Callithrix jacchus: one gene and its partner. The protein of the gene in region 2 purifies or fractionates together with the protein of the main gene of each other region. This does not show direct contact. Links are inferred from orthologs where the notes say so. Each region holds a gene or a part of one and is shown on either strand. Other genes may lie near its edges.

Evidence for each region.
Region 1: the proteins of TCOF1 (region 2) and ARRB1 purify together in Homo sapiens (affinity purification with western blotting; 5 studies listed by BioGRID and IntAct, with this or other methods). This does not show direct contact. The link is inferred for Callithrix jacchus from reciprocal best matches to the Homo sapiens genes TCOF1 and ARRB1.

What each region holds. Positions count from the first base shown.
Region 1 is NC_133511.1:65,596,184-65,603,904, reverse strand, and holds the start of ARRB1 (beta-arrestin-1), read right to left. Parts: upstream 4,979-7,721; 5' UTR 4,866-4,978; coding exon 4,846-4,865; intron 1-4,845. UniProt on the Homo sapiens protein: Functions in regulating agonist-mediated G-protein coupled receptor (GPCR) signaling by mediating both receptor desensitization and resensitization processes.
Region 2 is NC_133503.1:49,071,488-49,078,894, reverse strand, and holds the start of TCOF1 (treacle protein), read right to left. Parts: upstream 4,925-7,407; 5' UTR 4,844-4,924; coding exon 4,736-4,843; intron 1,600-4,735; coding exon 1,544-1,599; intron 1-1,543.

The DNA of each region.
Region 1 (7,721 bases), on a different chromosome or scaffold from region 2:
AAGCTGGAGAAGTCTGAAGCCCAGAGGCTGGCTTGGAATCAGGGATCAGAGACAGTGAGCCAGGCTTGACGCACCACTCCCAGCAGCCCCACGAGCAGGCCTGGCCAAAGCCACAGGACTTCCCCATGTTCCATACAAGATGGGTCACACAGGGCTTAACCACCAAGAGAAATGACAGCCAAAGTTCACAGAGAGCTGGTGGTTACATGTCCCCATCACCCTCCTTTCTCTGAAAAAAGAAGAATTCATAAACATATGCAGGAAAGGAAATTCCACTCCCTTCCATTGCCTCTCAGGAAGTCCCTCTTGTTGTCTAAATCTGATCCTTCATGTTGTCTGTTGAGTTAGTGGGAACAGCAAAGCACAACCTGAGGCTGGGAGCTGCCAGGGAGGCCAACTGTGAGCCAGACAAGGCCCCCTCACTTGGGCAAAGTGTCAAGTAGCAGAGAGGGCTTTGTGGGCCTGAGTTCTTAAGCCTCTGCTGGCTGAATGGCAGTGGACAAATACTCTCTCCTAGTCTGTTTCCTCATCTACAAAATGGGAACGACAATCCCCACATTACCAGATTACAGTTGAATTCATTGAGATTATGTGTGTAATTTTTTTTTTGAGACGGAGTTTCGCTCTTGTTACCCAGGCTGGAGTGCAATGGCGCGATCTCGGCTCACCTCAACCTCCACCTCCTGGTTCAGGCAATTCTCCTGCCTCAGCCTCCTGAGTAGCCGGGATTACAGGCACGCGCCACCATGCCCAGCTAATTTTATTTTTTGGATTTTTAGTAGAGATGAGGTTTCACCATGTTGACCAGGATGGTCTCGATCTCTTGACCTCTTGATCCACCTGCCTCGGCCTCCCAAAGTGCTGGGATTACAGGCTTGAGCCACCGTGCCCGGCTTATGTGTGTAATTCTAACACACACCAGACACCTGGCAAAGGGCCAATCGACCAGCAAGATTGATGGACTCCACCTCCTTATTCATATTCATATTTCTCAGCTCTATCCTCTCTGCAGCCTAAGTTCAGAGCTCGCAGTCTCAGTTCTCAGGTTTCTCCCCAGCCTCCTCACTGGTCTCCCTGCTTCCAGGCCTGCTCTTCCCATCCATCCCCCTTGGCGCTGCCAAAGACATCTCTTTGAAATGAAAGCATCTGCTTGCATCCCTCTGCTGCCTCATACTCTTCTCTGAATCACCATCTACTTCAGGAGAAAATGCTATCTCCTTAGCCTGACATTCCCAGGCTGCTGGTGACCGGCCTGTGTTTACCTCTTAAGGCTCACTGTCATCCCCATCCAGGCCCTGGGCTGCACACCTTGCTTCCTGCCTCCGAGCCATTGCAGATTGTGCAACCTCGGCCAGGAATGTCATTCCCAATCCCACCCCCTTGGCCTCCTCATCCTTTCGGATGAAGCTCAGTAGTTCTAACACAACCTCCTTTCCAGGAAGGCTTCCTTGGCCATGCTCCCTGCCTGGGCCTGGGTTGGGGACTTCTCCTTTAGCCTCCCACAACGCATGTCATCCTGCTTTCTAACCACCTGCTCTGCTCTAAATCCCTGGAGGACAGTGTAGACTCTCCTCTCTGAATCCCCAGGCCCTGGGCACTCAGAAGGTACTCAACATTTGTTGAATGAATACAAGATTGTTCCCAGAGCACCTTACAGCAACCATCATACTCCTACCCTGTAACTAACCCTGTCCAGATATTTTGTTTTTATTTTTTCACTCTCTCAGGCTGCACCAGGGTGCAGTGATCATGGCTCACTGCAGCCTTGACCTCCAGGGCTCAAGTGATCCTCCCACTTCAGCCTCCTGAGTAGCTAGGACTACAGGTGTGCGCCATCATCATCAGCTGATTTTTGTATGTTTTGCAGAGACAAGATTTCACCATGTTGCCCAGGCTGGTCTTGAATTCCTGAGCTCAAGCAATCTGCCCACCTCAGCCTCCCAAAGTGCTGGGATTACGGGAGTGAGCTACCATTTGCAGCCCTGCCCAGGTATTTAACACCTATTTCCCCTTGGCCCTGGGAGTTCCTAGAAGGCAGTGACAGTTTCTGATTAATTTTCATTATTGGCGGGGCGTGGTGGCTCATGCCTGTAATCCAAGCACTCTGGAGGCCAAGGTGGGTGGATCACCTGAGGTCAAGAGTTCAAGACCAGCCTGACTAACATGGTGAAACCTTGTCTTTAAAAAAAATAAATAACTAAATGAAAATTTTCATTATCACTTTCATATGGGGGTGCAATTCCAGATGGAGGGATGGATTCGATAGTTCCTGATGTTCAGTTTTAGATATCTGCAGATTCCTTTTCTTAGTCATAGATAAAGTAGAATCTCATGGCTTACAAAAAAAAAAACAGGGTACAGCCCATTCCTGATTTTGCCCTTCTCTTCCAAATTACTTGGCAAACTGTCTGAAAAGGGAAAGAAAGTCCTCATAGGACTGCAGGAGAGTCTGAGGGGGAGGTCAGGGCCACCATCAGGTGGGTTTAGCCAGGCCTTGGCTCTAGGCTTCAGGCAGTGCCTCTATCCCTGCCCAGCAAAGTCAGTAAGTATACAAGGGGAGCCCTAAAATGGAAGTATTGATATAGCTTCAACTTACAAATGGGAAACTAAGGTCTGGAAAGGCAAAGGCAATTGCCCAATGTCCCAAAGGTCCACCAGTGGGTTCAAGACAGGGCAGGGGGAGTCATGGAAAATACCCTGGCCTCGGAGACAGGGTCTCCAGCAGGTGCCTGGAAGCCCATGGTGTCCTCATCTTTCTGACAATCCATGTCAGCAGGACAGCAATGACACTTATCCCCCCAAGTCACAGGGAGATACAGAGAGACCCAAGAGAGGCTGAGTCACCCTGATCACAAGGCAGCCCAGGAAGGACACGGGAGGGGAGAATGGCTCAGACTCCCTGCCATGCCCTGCAGGAAGAAAAGCCCGACCTCATGGGTCAAGAGAGTCTTAATTTCGGGGCAGATGGATGCGGCTGGGGAGGGAGTCACACATCTTCCTCCTGCGGACAGAGGCCTAGGTAACAGTGCTGGCCAGCCAGCTGCAATGGGGACTAGCCATCGAGGTGCATTCAGAGACACCATGATCTTCTGCAGTCTCCCTCAAAGGCCTGGGCCTCCAGCACAGAGCAGAGCACCCCTCCCTGGCACATGAGGGGCCTGGCAGTGCCCTAGGGCCATCCACAGAGACATGACCAAGTGGACTCCAGCCTCTGCCCTGCCTCTAACCCATCTTGACCTTAAGCAAATCACATGACAACTCTAACCCTCTGGTTCCTCTGCTAGAAAACAGGAAAAGGAAAATTAACCTCCTGGAAGAGCTGTCAGGAGGATGGTTGGAAAGTAGTTTCTAAACATTAAGAGCTTGAGTTGCTTCGGAGACTTAGTTTCTTCCTCTAGAAAATGGAAATAATCTCTGGAAGCCCTTTCTCATGCTGTTGAGAGAGAGCCTTAGATGGCAGTGGCCCTGAAAGGTGGTGCCCTCTGGGGTGGTCTCTCTAGTTTGTTAGTTCCTTCAGGGGAGGAAGGGGCCTTGCACATCTTTGATCCCCCACAATATGCCTAGTATACAGCAAGAGCTCAATAAATAAATGGAAACAAGGAGAGGGGAGGGAAGGGAGGAGGGAGAAGGTGGACACAAGGATAGGAGGGGAGGAAGACAGAAAACAATGAGAAAGAGGGATGGAAAGGGGGTAAGACGGGGACCCCAGGGAGAGGCTATGTGCAGACTTAGTGGATAGGGAGGGCAACGGGGAAAACTGGGTGACAATGCTGAGCCCCTGAGGAGTGCTGGTCCTATCTGAAGGGCTGCCCCCAGGGGCTGCCCTGCTCTAGCCTCTTCCCCTTTTATCCCAGTTTCCCCTTTCAGAGGCATAGACTGCCTCTTTCTGAGTCTTTCAGGCCAGGTTTCAGGAGAACAGAGGGGCTCTCCCAGCCCTAGGTTCAAAAGAGCTCCTGGCCAGCCACTCCTCAGGAGGTCAGAGAAAAGGGAGCAGAGGGTATGGATGGGATCTGGATGGGATGGGATCTGTTTTCCCAAGGCTGGGGGTGGTGGGGAGTGCTCTACCCTGTGTGATGTGTGTATTTCCACTTCTGGCCATGTGGGGCCTGGAGCATGTGTGTCAGCGGGCCTCGGAGCTGGCAGCTTGTGCCTGTAGGGTGCCAGTCTTTGCAGGCATCAGTCTGATTGTGTCTGTGGGGGTCAGTGTTGGTGTGGCTTTGCGCTCCGCTGTGGTGAGACCTGCCAGCAGCACAAGTGTGTGTGCCAGTGAGAGTGATATGTGTGCCAGCAAGGGTGTTTGCTACAGCGAGTGCAGGTGACAGTGTGCATATCAGTGTATGCCCACACGTGTATACCAGCACTAGGGTGTGTTAGAACTGGTGTGTGTTGGAGTGTGACCTGTGCATGCCAACAAGGCTGTCAGCAAGAAAGTGTTGACTGAGGCGTGTGTGACGGTGTGCCACTGCGTGATGAGCGTGTGCCAGCGGCTGCCAGTGTGTGCACCAGCATGCATGTGCCACGGGTTAGTGGGTCCGTGCGTGTATTGTGTGTCAGTCTGCCTCCGTGCGTCTCTGCGCCTGCTGGCCAGTGCTGGGTGTCAGCGAGCTGCGAGTGTGTCCGGGCCAGGAGCCGCGGCCCACATGGGGCGGCCCAGCCCTTGCCCTTTAGTCTCCACCGCCCACGGCCCTGCCGGAGACCACACAGGAGACCTCGGGTGGAGGAGAACCGGTACGTGATCCCAGGGTGGCCCTGAACGTAGAACCAGGACGCAATCGGAGCCCCCGCCCATGCCCTCGCCGAGGTCGCCCCCACGCGCCCCGCGCCCGGCGGCCACCCTGCACTCACCGTGTCCCTTTGTCGCCCATGGTCCGCGACGGTCGCAGAGAGGTCCGTGGCGTCAGCGCCCAGGCTGGAAAATCCCCGGCCAGCAGGAGGAGCGCGGGCCAGCCCGCTCCCGGCTCCCTGCTCCGCCTCCTCCGTTCTCCCGGCCGCCGCCGCTGCCGCCGTTCCCGCCCCCGGTCCCCGCCCGCCGCCTGCCGCGCGGAGCCGCGCAGAGCCCGGGCCGCTGCCAGGGGCGTGGAACCACGCGGGGTGTGTGCGTGTGTGTCTGTGTGTGCGAGTCTGCGTGTGCGCGCACCGCCCAGCGAGCCAGGGCAGTGCGGCTGGACGCGTCAGGGCCCCAAGGTTCGCGTTTGGGGGTGTCCCCCCGGGTGTGCGTCCGTGTGTGAGCCTGTGTGTGTGTGTGTGTGTGTGCGCGCGCGCGCGTGTGTGTGTGAGCCTGTGTGTGTGTGTGCGTGTGTGTGTGTGTGTGTGGTGGTGGTTTGGTGTACGTGATGGCTCACGGCTGTGTGCGAGCCCTGTTAGGGAGTGTATTGGTGTGGATGGAGGAGTGTGCACGTCTTTGTGCAATTGTGCGTGTGTGCGCACGGCCGTGGGTGCGAGCGCGCTCTCCCGCGCATGCCGGGGCAGCCTTTGTGTGTGCGGGTGATTGGAACCCGAGGGTTTGGCGACCCCGAGGCCGAGCTCCCTGCCTCCCCTAGCTTAGCAGAAGACCCCAGGATGTCTGGCAAGGCCTTTGCCCTGTGCTCCACCCTTCCCTATCCCATCCCACCTCACCCAACCCCACCCCCTTCATCTGGAGAGGTAACACCGAACCACCCTAGGGGACAGGAAGAAGGGGTGGAGGGGGCAGTAGACGGCCTTGACGCTGGGGAATTGAGCAGAGACCAGAGGTTAGCAGGGGCTGCAGGAGGCCACCCGGAAAGAGGAAGCTTCGAGAAGTGAGAAGAGGCGAGAAAGGAAGAAAGCAGAGCTGGCCTGCTGCTCCCGCTGGGTAGCACGGTGGAAAGCGTCCATGCCCAGCGCCGTGGCCTGCTGCGGGTGACCCTGTACACCAAGCTTCTGAGAACCCATGTCCAGACCTGTAAAGTGAGGATACACTAATATCAGCCTGCAGAATTGTTCATAGGTTGAAAGAACTCGCTTGTGTTTGCTGACCTCCCCTGAGTACCTGCATACAGTAGGTGCCCAGCAGATGTTAGCTCACTCCTCTGCAGGCTTCTTGATGTCCTGTGAAATCTTGGCTGGGACCCTGCTTTGTCTGAGGTGCCTTCCTGCTTTGCAGGTAGTGGGAAATTGTAAGGTTTTTCCTACACCCTCACTACTGAGATTTGGCTAATTAGCCCTAATAGGTCCCTGATATCTGAGTATTAAGGGAAAAGGAAGCTATCATTTACTCTGATGCTGTTGTCGGTATGCAAACATCTCCTGTAATTATGTCCAGAAGCAGTTACCTATACTGTTTATATGCAGCATAATTACTATAATTACGTCCAGATTTGGCAGAGGGGCAGGGGGAGGCTGATGGGTAGGCAGGGTGGCCCACCTCTGGGCAGTGTTAAGAGCTAGAGAATATGGATGAACCCTCCTCCCAGTCTTGGCCTCTGGGCTTCACCGTCACCCCGACAGGGAAAGAAGAGGAAGCCACCTGTTGTTTCTGCAGGGGTCAGAGAACTGGAAAGGAGCAGACCAGACTCTTCCTTGATGACAGGAAGTCCCTAACCAGGATAGCGAGGCCAGGTCCCGCCAGGCTTCACATCAGTTTCCCCACTGATAAAATAGGTTTGACCAAACCAGATGATCTCCAATGGATCTCCCCATGCTGATGCCCAAAACATCTAAATTTATTTATTTTTATTTTATTTTATTTTATTTTTGAGACGGAGTCTCGCTCTGCCACCCAGGCTGGAGTGCAATGCCATGATCTCGGCTCACTGCAACCTCCACCTCTGGGGTTCAAATGATTCTCTTGCCTCAGCCTCCCCTACTGGGGAGGCAGACACCCTTCATCATGCCCAGCTAATTTTTGTATTTTTGTTGAGACAGGGTTTTACCATTTTGGCTAGGCTGGTCTTGAACTCCTGACTTCAGGTGATCCGCCCACCTTGGCCGTGCAAAGTGCTGGGATTACAGGCATGAGCCAACGTGCCTGGCCCTAAATTTTAAAACTCAATGCAAATTCTTCATTCCACTAAATATTTGTATTTGTTTTACTGTAAAAATGATGTTTTTAATTACTTCCGAGCAAAAGAAACAGTTCAGAAAGATGCATCAGGTGGTTTCAGGTAACCCCTCCCTTCTCACTGCTTGCGAAGCAGGGCTCTGACATTTAGGGACACTGAACAGACTGGTAGACTGTGGAGTCAACATGCAGGATTCCAAATACTGGACATCCCCACTGGCCTGTAAACTCCATGAGGTGGGGCTGTGCTGCTACTTGATACAAGTCTATGACATAAGTGCTCTTTGCCCTTTTTCTTTCTTTTTATTCCCCCCCTGTTGCGGTCTCACTGTCACTTAGGCTGAAATGAGCTATGATCATGCCACTGTAGGCTCCAACTCCTCACCTTAAGCTATCCTCCAGCCTTGGTCTTCCAAGTAGCTGGAATTACAGATGTGCCCCGCTACACCAAGCTAGTTTTTAAATTAGTTTTCGTAGACATGGGGTCTCACTATGTGGCCCAGGCTGGTATCAAACTCCTGGTCTCAGGCGACCCTCCCACTTCGGCCTCCCAAAGTGCTGGATTACAGGCATAAGCCTGTAATGGCTATGTCTGGCCCTCTTTTCCCTTTTTTATAAATGAGCAAACTGATATTCAGAGAAATTAAGTCACATGCCCAAATCCATAGCCTCCTCTGGGCCTTGCCTCTGACCTCCTATC
Region 2 (7,407 bases):
AGAGGCCCTGTGCTCTAAGCCCTCCTCAGCAGTAGAGGACAGCCAAGAACTGAGGGCTGGCAGGGTTTTCAACCATCTTAGCTCTCTACTAGAGGCTGCAATCCCTTCCACACCATTCCTTTGTTTACAAACCTCTAATGACAGGGAGCTCACCACCTCCACTGTAGCCCACTTCATTTTTAGACAGCTCTGATGAGCAAGTCCGTATATTCAGAAGCTGAAACCTGTCTTCCTAAAGCAGGTCCATTTGGGGCCCACTTCTGTCTCCAGGGCTTCAGAGAATGCACTATTCTTGGTCCTCAAAGATGTGCAGTGGTGCCTCACATCCCTCACCTGCCTCCTTGTCATCTAAGGCAATTCTATACTCTGCACCATTCCTCAGGGGATATATCTTCACGTCCTTCACTCCCTTATTCAGCTGTGGTCAGGCCAGTGCCTGATGAGAACACAATTACTCTCTCCATTTTCAAGCCATTCCTCTGTTGATGTATCCTTGGATGAGTCCCCCTTCCTTGAAGAGTACTTAAGTTTTACATGTTTAAAAGGCATCTCACACTCAACATGTCATTGAAATCTTTCCCTGCAAACTGGTTTCCCTTCAAGCTCTATGCATGGATACATAAGCCAGACATGGAGTCAATCAGATACTTCCTCTCCCATCCATCCATGGGCCCTGGTTTCATCCCTGTGACTCCTAGAATCCACTGTCTACCCTGTTACCCCCGTCTCAAGCCCCATCAGCTCTTGCCTGGATGACGGTGTCCACCGACTAGTCTCAACATGGTGCAGAGCAGTCAGCTCACTTTCTCACCCTGCCATGGCCCCAGCTGCTCTTGGGTAAAGACAAAATTCCTCACCATGGATAACCAGGCCTCGCATGGCTATCCACGCGATAATCTAGCCTCACCTGTACTGTCCACCAGCCACAGGACTGAGCATTAGCAATTTCCGCTGGCAGGTACCTACTGCATAGTACCTATTGCTGCTCTATACCTACTGCATAGCTCACTCTCCCAATTCCTGCAGCTCTCAAGTCAAAGATCATCTCAGGGAAGCTTCCCCTGGACCTCCAAATGAAGTGTCTGGAAGCTTACCCATTTATGTGGCTGTGGCAACAGGTTCTTCTCTCTTGTAATCCTTACTACTACCGTAATTTTACATTCATTTGTTTCATTCTTTGACTCATGCCTCCTTGACTACAATGTCAGCTGCAGGAAAGAAGGAACCATGTCTGTCTCACTTGTGACAATACATGCATACTAAGTAAGAACAGGACTTGGCTTTTAGGAGGTAATCAATAAATGCTGATCAACTGAATAAACAAGCTGGTTAGAAGCTCTTGTTCTTAAGAGATCACAGCTCTCAATGTCCCCTCCCACTACCAGATATCCCCATTCATGTGCTGTGACCGGCTTTCTGGAGGCAACAATGGTGTCCACAGTGAGCTATAGGGACAGATCTTAGATCAGACAGGTATCCCAGCTTATTCCACACTGATTTGCTTGGGGTGTCCCTACTCCACCCTGTCAGCCCCACCACTTACTGTTGCCAGTGTGTATAGATGTCCAGAAGGGTTACGGGCTGAGCCAGGAAACACTTCTGCAGAGAGGTAAAGAGAAAGCCACAATTAACCCCCAGCACAGTAAGGGTCCTCCTTGGGCCCAGCTCTCCCCAAACTCATGACTTGCACAGATAGGTGGTTTAGAAGAGAGTCTTTTCGGCTGGGCATGGTGGCTTACACCTGTAATCCTAGCACTTTGGGAGGCTGAGGCAGGAAGATCGCTTGAGCCCAGGAGTTCAAGACCAGTCTGGGCAACATAACGAGACTGTCTCATGTTAAAAAAAAATTAGCTGGGAATGGTGGCATGCACTGGTGGTCCCAGCTACTCAGAAGGCTGAGGTGGGAGGATCACTTGAGCCCAGGATATCGAGGCTGCAGTGAGCCATGCTTGCACCACTGCACTCAAGCCTGGGCGACAGAGCAAGACCCTTAAAAAAAAAAGAGGGTCTTTTTGCTCTGGGTATATCTGCTTGGCCCTGCCAGTTTCATCTAAAACCTTCCAGAGAAAAGAAGGACAAACAATTCCAGTTAAAACTTTTTTGGACAACATGGTGAGAGGCCCCTTTGAGAGGCCAGAGTTGTAATGTTCCAAGCTAGCATTTATTCAGCCCCCAGCCTGTCTGGCACCCCCAGCCTCTCTGGCACTATCAGTGCCTAGAGGGCACGAGACAGGGTTTCTCCCACCCTTGACCTTTAAAAAGGCTTTCAAAGACTTGGCCAGCCAATATTTCCAAAGCATGAACCATAGCCCAGATGAGGCATCCAGGTGGCATGATCACAGTCCACTAGTCTGCTGGGAAAAGACTGGGCCCAAAAGATACCAGTCCCTTGGAGGAAGCAGAAGGAACCAAGGGGAACTTCTGCCTTTGGGGCAGAGGCCAGAGAGCCCACTATCTCTGTAAATGTCAAGAAGCCAGGATATCAAGTACTCCAAAAAGGCTAAGCAATGTGGGGCAGGAGTGGAGAGTGTCTGGAAGCTGGGCAGAGTAGCCAAGAGGGTGCAGCACCTGGAGTCAGGCAGAGCTCCTCTGTTAACTAATCCTCTGACTGACTCCAGGTGCTCACCCCTCCTTTCCTTCAGGTTGCTATCCAAATGACATCTTCTCAATGAGGCTTCCCTGACTACCTTACTTATAATTGAACTCTGATAACACTTATATCCCTTGCCTGCCTTATTTTTATACAAGCACCAACCATCACTGGATATACTATATCATTAACTTATTAAACTTTTTCTATTTGTTACCTGTCTGCTCCTACTAGAATGTGTGCTCCATGAGGGCAGAATATCTTTGCTCCAATGAAGACTACCCTTACCTGTGAAGTGGTGTAACTGTAGTACAAACAGCAAATGAGGTTCAGAGATAATCGGGAAAAGCATAGATAACGCCTTAGCATCCCTCACCCTTTAGTCCCTCCAGGAGGTTCTAACAGTAAGCATTAGAAACAGAGCCTAAACTACAAGGTAAAGTGATTTGACTACTCAGGATACCGTCTCATCAGCTCAAAACTCTCCATTGCTCTTCCAAGGAATATTAAACTGCCCACCAGACCACTCCAGCCAGCCCCCTGCCTCCATCTCTCCAGGGGCATCTGGCCCTTGTACTCCACACTTCAACCACTATGGACTTTCTTTTCTTTTCTTTTTGAGATGGAGTCTCGTTCTGTTGCCCAGGCTGGAGTGCAGTGGCTCAATCTCACCTCACTGCAACCTCTGCCTCCTGGGTTCAAGTGATTCTCCTGCCTCACCCTCCCAAGTAACTGGGACTACAGGTGCGCACCACCACACCCTGCTAAATTCTGTATTTTTAGTAGAGATGGGTTTCACCATGTTGGTCAGGCTGTTGTTCTCAAACTCCTGGCCTCAAATGATCAGTCTAGCTCAGCCTCCCAAAATGTTGGGATTACAGGCATGAGCCATGGAACCTGGCCTGCTATGGACTCGAAAAAAAATTATTTTTGAGACAGGGTCTTGCTGTCACCCAGGCTAGAGTGCAGTGGCACAATCATGACTTATACTGCTCACACGGTATCCTCAAACTCCCAGGCTCAAGACAGTGGACTTTCTCGAGGCCAGTGTGTACACAAGTTCCCTCCCTCCACAGGGCATTTACACCTCAGCCTGGAATATTCACCTCCCTTTCTTCAGATCTCAAATCAACTGCCACTTGCTTTGAAAGGCAGTCCTGGCTAGGGCAATCTGCCACCCGTCTCATGTCTTTTGTTTTTTGTTTTTTTTTGAGACAGAGTCTCACTCTATCGCCCAGGCTGGAGTGCAGTGGCACGATCTCGGCTCATTGCAACTTCTGCCTCCTGGCTTCAAGCAATTCTCGTGCTTCAGCCACCAAGCCCAGCTAATTTTTGTATTTTTAGTAGAGACAGTGTTTCACCATGTTGGCCAGGCTGGTCTCAAACTTCTGATCTCAGATGATCCGCCTGCCTCAGCCTCCCTAAGTGCTGGGATTACAGGCGTGAGCCACCGTGCACAGCCCATCCCTCTCATTCTTAACACTTAATGTAGTGCTAAGCATATACTCACTTTTGTGATTCTTTGATTTTTCTACCCTACTAGAGTGTAAGCTCCAGGAGGGCTGGAAGACGGTGCTCAGCATCTCCCAGGAAGTACCCTGAGTACTGGACTAACAGCTGAATGAATCAATCAAGTAAGAAATGACTGTACCACGAGTTCGAGTCCCAAAGCTGTCCGTCTCAGTACAGACAATCGTTAAGGGCCTGAGTTCCAGCTCAACTAAGGGGCTGTGGGATACCTTCTCGAGGCGCGCCCCAAAGGGCTGGTCGCCATCCATCTCGCAGCAACCTCCTCGCCCCAGGGGGGCTGTGCTGGGCCTAGCCACGTGGCGGGAGACTTAGGAAACTTAAAACAGCCGCTACCAAAAAGGGGGAGGAGGTAAGGGACGCGGGAATTACAAAGTTCGGCCCCTGCGAGTACACGTTGCGGCCCGCCCACTGCACAGATGAGGAAAGTGAGGCCCAGGGGAAGTGAAGTCGCAGTGGCGAGGCAGAGGTTGCGGCTCCTCTGGTACCCGTGGCCCTTGCCGCTGAGCACGGCGGGACCCGGCTCTGGGCGCCCGCCGGGTCGCCTGAGGGCGGGCCGCGGGCCATTGATCTCCACATCCTGCACGCGGCCTTCGCACACGGCCCACGAACACTTACCTGGCCACTCTGCTCCTTCACTGCCCGCGCCGCGCGCACATAGCCAGCCCGCAGCAGATGGTGGTAGATAAGGGGAAGTAGCTCCCGTCGCTTCCTGGCCTCGGCCATGCCCGCGACCCCCGGCCTGCCGGCTACCTGTACGCCCCTCCTTAGTCCCCGCCCGCCACTTCCCTCGCGCCCTTAGACCTCGCGCGTTCCACTTCCGGCTCCTCTTTCACCCCGGCCGCGCGGCGCGCCGGGAAACGTAGTGCCCTTTCCTGGAGTGGCCGGCCCCGCCCCTCAAAGCGAAAGGGGCGGGGTTTAGAGGGAAACAAAACCCATTGGCGCGGAGTGGGCGGGGCTAGAGAGGGACCCGACCCCGGAGCCGGCCGTGTAATTGATGACTCTTTTAATCCTTCCGGCTGGCTCCTTGAAGAGATTTATCTTCCTTGTTAATTCTCTGAAGGCTGCGTTTCACTCATCTCTGAACGCCCTAATCTGGATCTTTCTCTAGACCTGAACTTCGAACTGCCATTACTCTCTCATTTATTCATTTAACACATTTTTTGGTACCCATGAACCAGACACGAGTTGTCAGTTTATTCATTCATTCACTAATTGAACAAATCTGTAGTAAGCACCGTAACTTGGGCTAGCACCCGGCTAGGCTAGGGGGATTCAGACGATGCATAATACATGGCAGATGACCTCAAGGCTCACAGAGAGGACTGTCTGTAACTAAGCAGCTATAGTTCAATATCTGGTGTACATTGTCAGGGACCGATGCAGCCTATAGGCGCCCCAAAGAAGAGCACCTAACCCCAAAGAGATATCTAAGCTGATGCATAAAGACAGAGCAGAAATTGCTGGGTGCAAAGGAAACGACTGGCAGAGGGCACTGCATGAGTCTAGGCATGAGAAAACACCCTGCTATTGCCTAGGAAACCCAAACCCAGAACCCAGTCTGTGCTGCTGGGCTATCGAGGTGGGGTGGGGAAGAGGAAACAAATGAGAGCCCATGAGGATGAAGAAGTAGACAAGGCCTACAACACCCCCACTCCCAGCAGAGTTTGGGACTTTGCTCTGAGGATGTTAGATAGTCTGACTGGCTTTTCAAAGGTTGACCTTGTTTTGTGTTTTTAAAAATTGCTAAACCATGAGCGGTGGCTCACTCCTGTAATCCCAGTCTTTGGGAGGCCGAGGCGGGTGGGTCACGAGGTGAGGAGTTCTAGACCAGCCTGACCAACAAGGTGAAACTCATTCTCTACTAAAAGTACAAAAAAATTAGCTGGGCGTGGTAGCGCACGCCTGTGATTCCCAGCTACTCAGGAAGCTGAGGCTGGAGAATCGCTTGAACCCGGGAGGTGGAGGTTGCAGTGAGCCAAGATTGCACCACTGCACTCCAGCCTGGGTGACAGAGCAAGACTCCATCTCAAAAAAAAAAAAAGATTGCTAAGACCAAAGCGCATACTATTAATACTAAATGTGAGGCTGTTATAGTTGTTGGGGGAAGGCTGGCGGGGAAAAGGTGAGGTAGGCTGGAGAATATGAGAGTCAGCTGTTCTTAATTTCATGGACCCATTGAGAATCTGATGGCAGTACGTTGCTTTCTGGAGCAGGAGTCCCTAACCCTAGAAGGTCCAGGTATGTGCTTATCTTTGTCCTGAACTTGGATGGAAAATGTTACCTGCCTATACACATTCACATTTTCTATTTTCTTGAGCAAATATTTATTAAGCACCTACTATTGCCGATTGAACAATCTCTACTCCTGTAGAGCTTGCAGTCTAATGGAGAAGACACACGCTAAACTAATAGCCATGCAACACAGTGTTCCGAACCTCGAGTAGGCAAAGGAAGGAAAATTAATAGTGTTTTCTTATGGAATAATATAGTGTTTAAAAGCTGCACTGGAGTCACACTGCCTGGGTTCAAATTCTGGCTTTGCCTCACAAACTAGGTGATCTTGGATAAGTTACATAACTTCTCTGTGACTCAGTTTCTTTATCTGTACGATGGAGATAATTATAATTTCTATCTCATTGTGTTGTCATAAGGAGTAAATGAATTCTCAGCAGAAATGCTTAGAAGAGCTCTGAACAATAGCCCTCTGTGTGCGTGTGCGTGTGTGCTATTATTGTGAAAGCATTTTACAGGAAGGAGGAATCTATTTTTTTTCTTGGGAGTCAGGGAAGGATTCCCTGAGAAATTGATGGTTATGAGAAAACCAGAACTATGTGTACGAGAGGGCCGGGGATAAGAAACCTGAGCAGATGGAAGAACCTGTGCAAAGGGCCTGAAGCAGAAGGTACAGCTGAGAGAAGAGACAAGGAAAGGCCTTTGTATCGGAGCCCAGAGGGAGAGTGGGGGGGTGGGGGGGGGACTGGGGAGTGTAGAAGGTGAGCAGAGGGCAGACTCCATGTGAAGGACTGGCCATGTCAAGGGTTTTTTTCTCTATCCTAAGAGCCGTTGGAAGCCACTGATGGTGTAAGCCCAAGAGACACAGGATGAAATCTGAATTTTACTGTGACCCACGTGCCTTCCCAGTGGACAGTGGAGTGTGTCTGGTGGGTATGAGTAGCTGTGGGAAGACAAGTCAGGGTTAGGAGTGCAGGCAGGCATCCAGGGAGAAGACAGTGTTGGGGGATGGTGTGGTGCTGGTGGCAGTGGAGTTGGAGAGCAGTGGAAGGTTC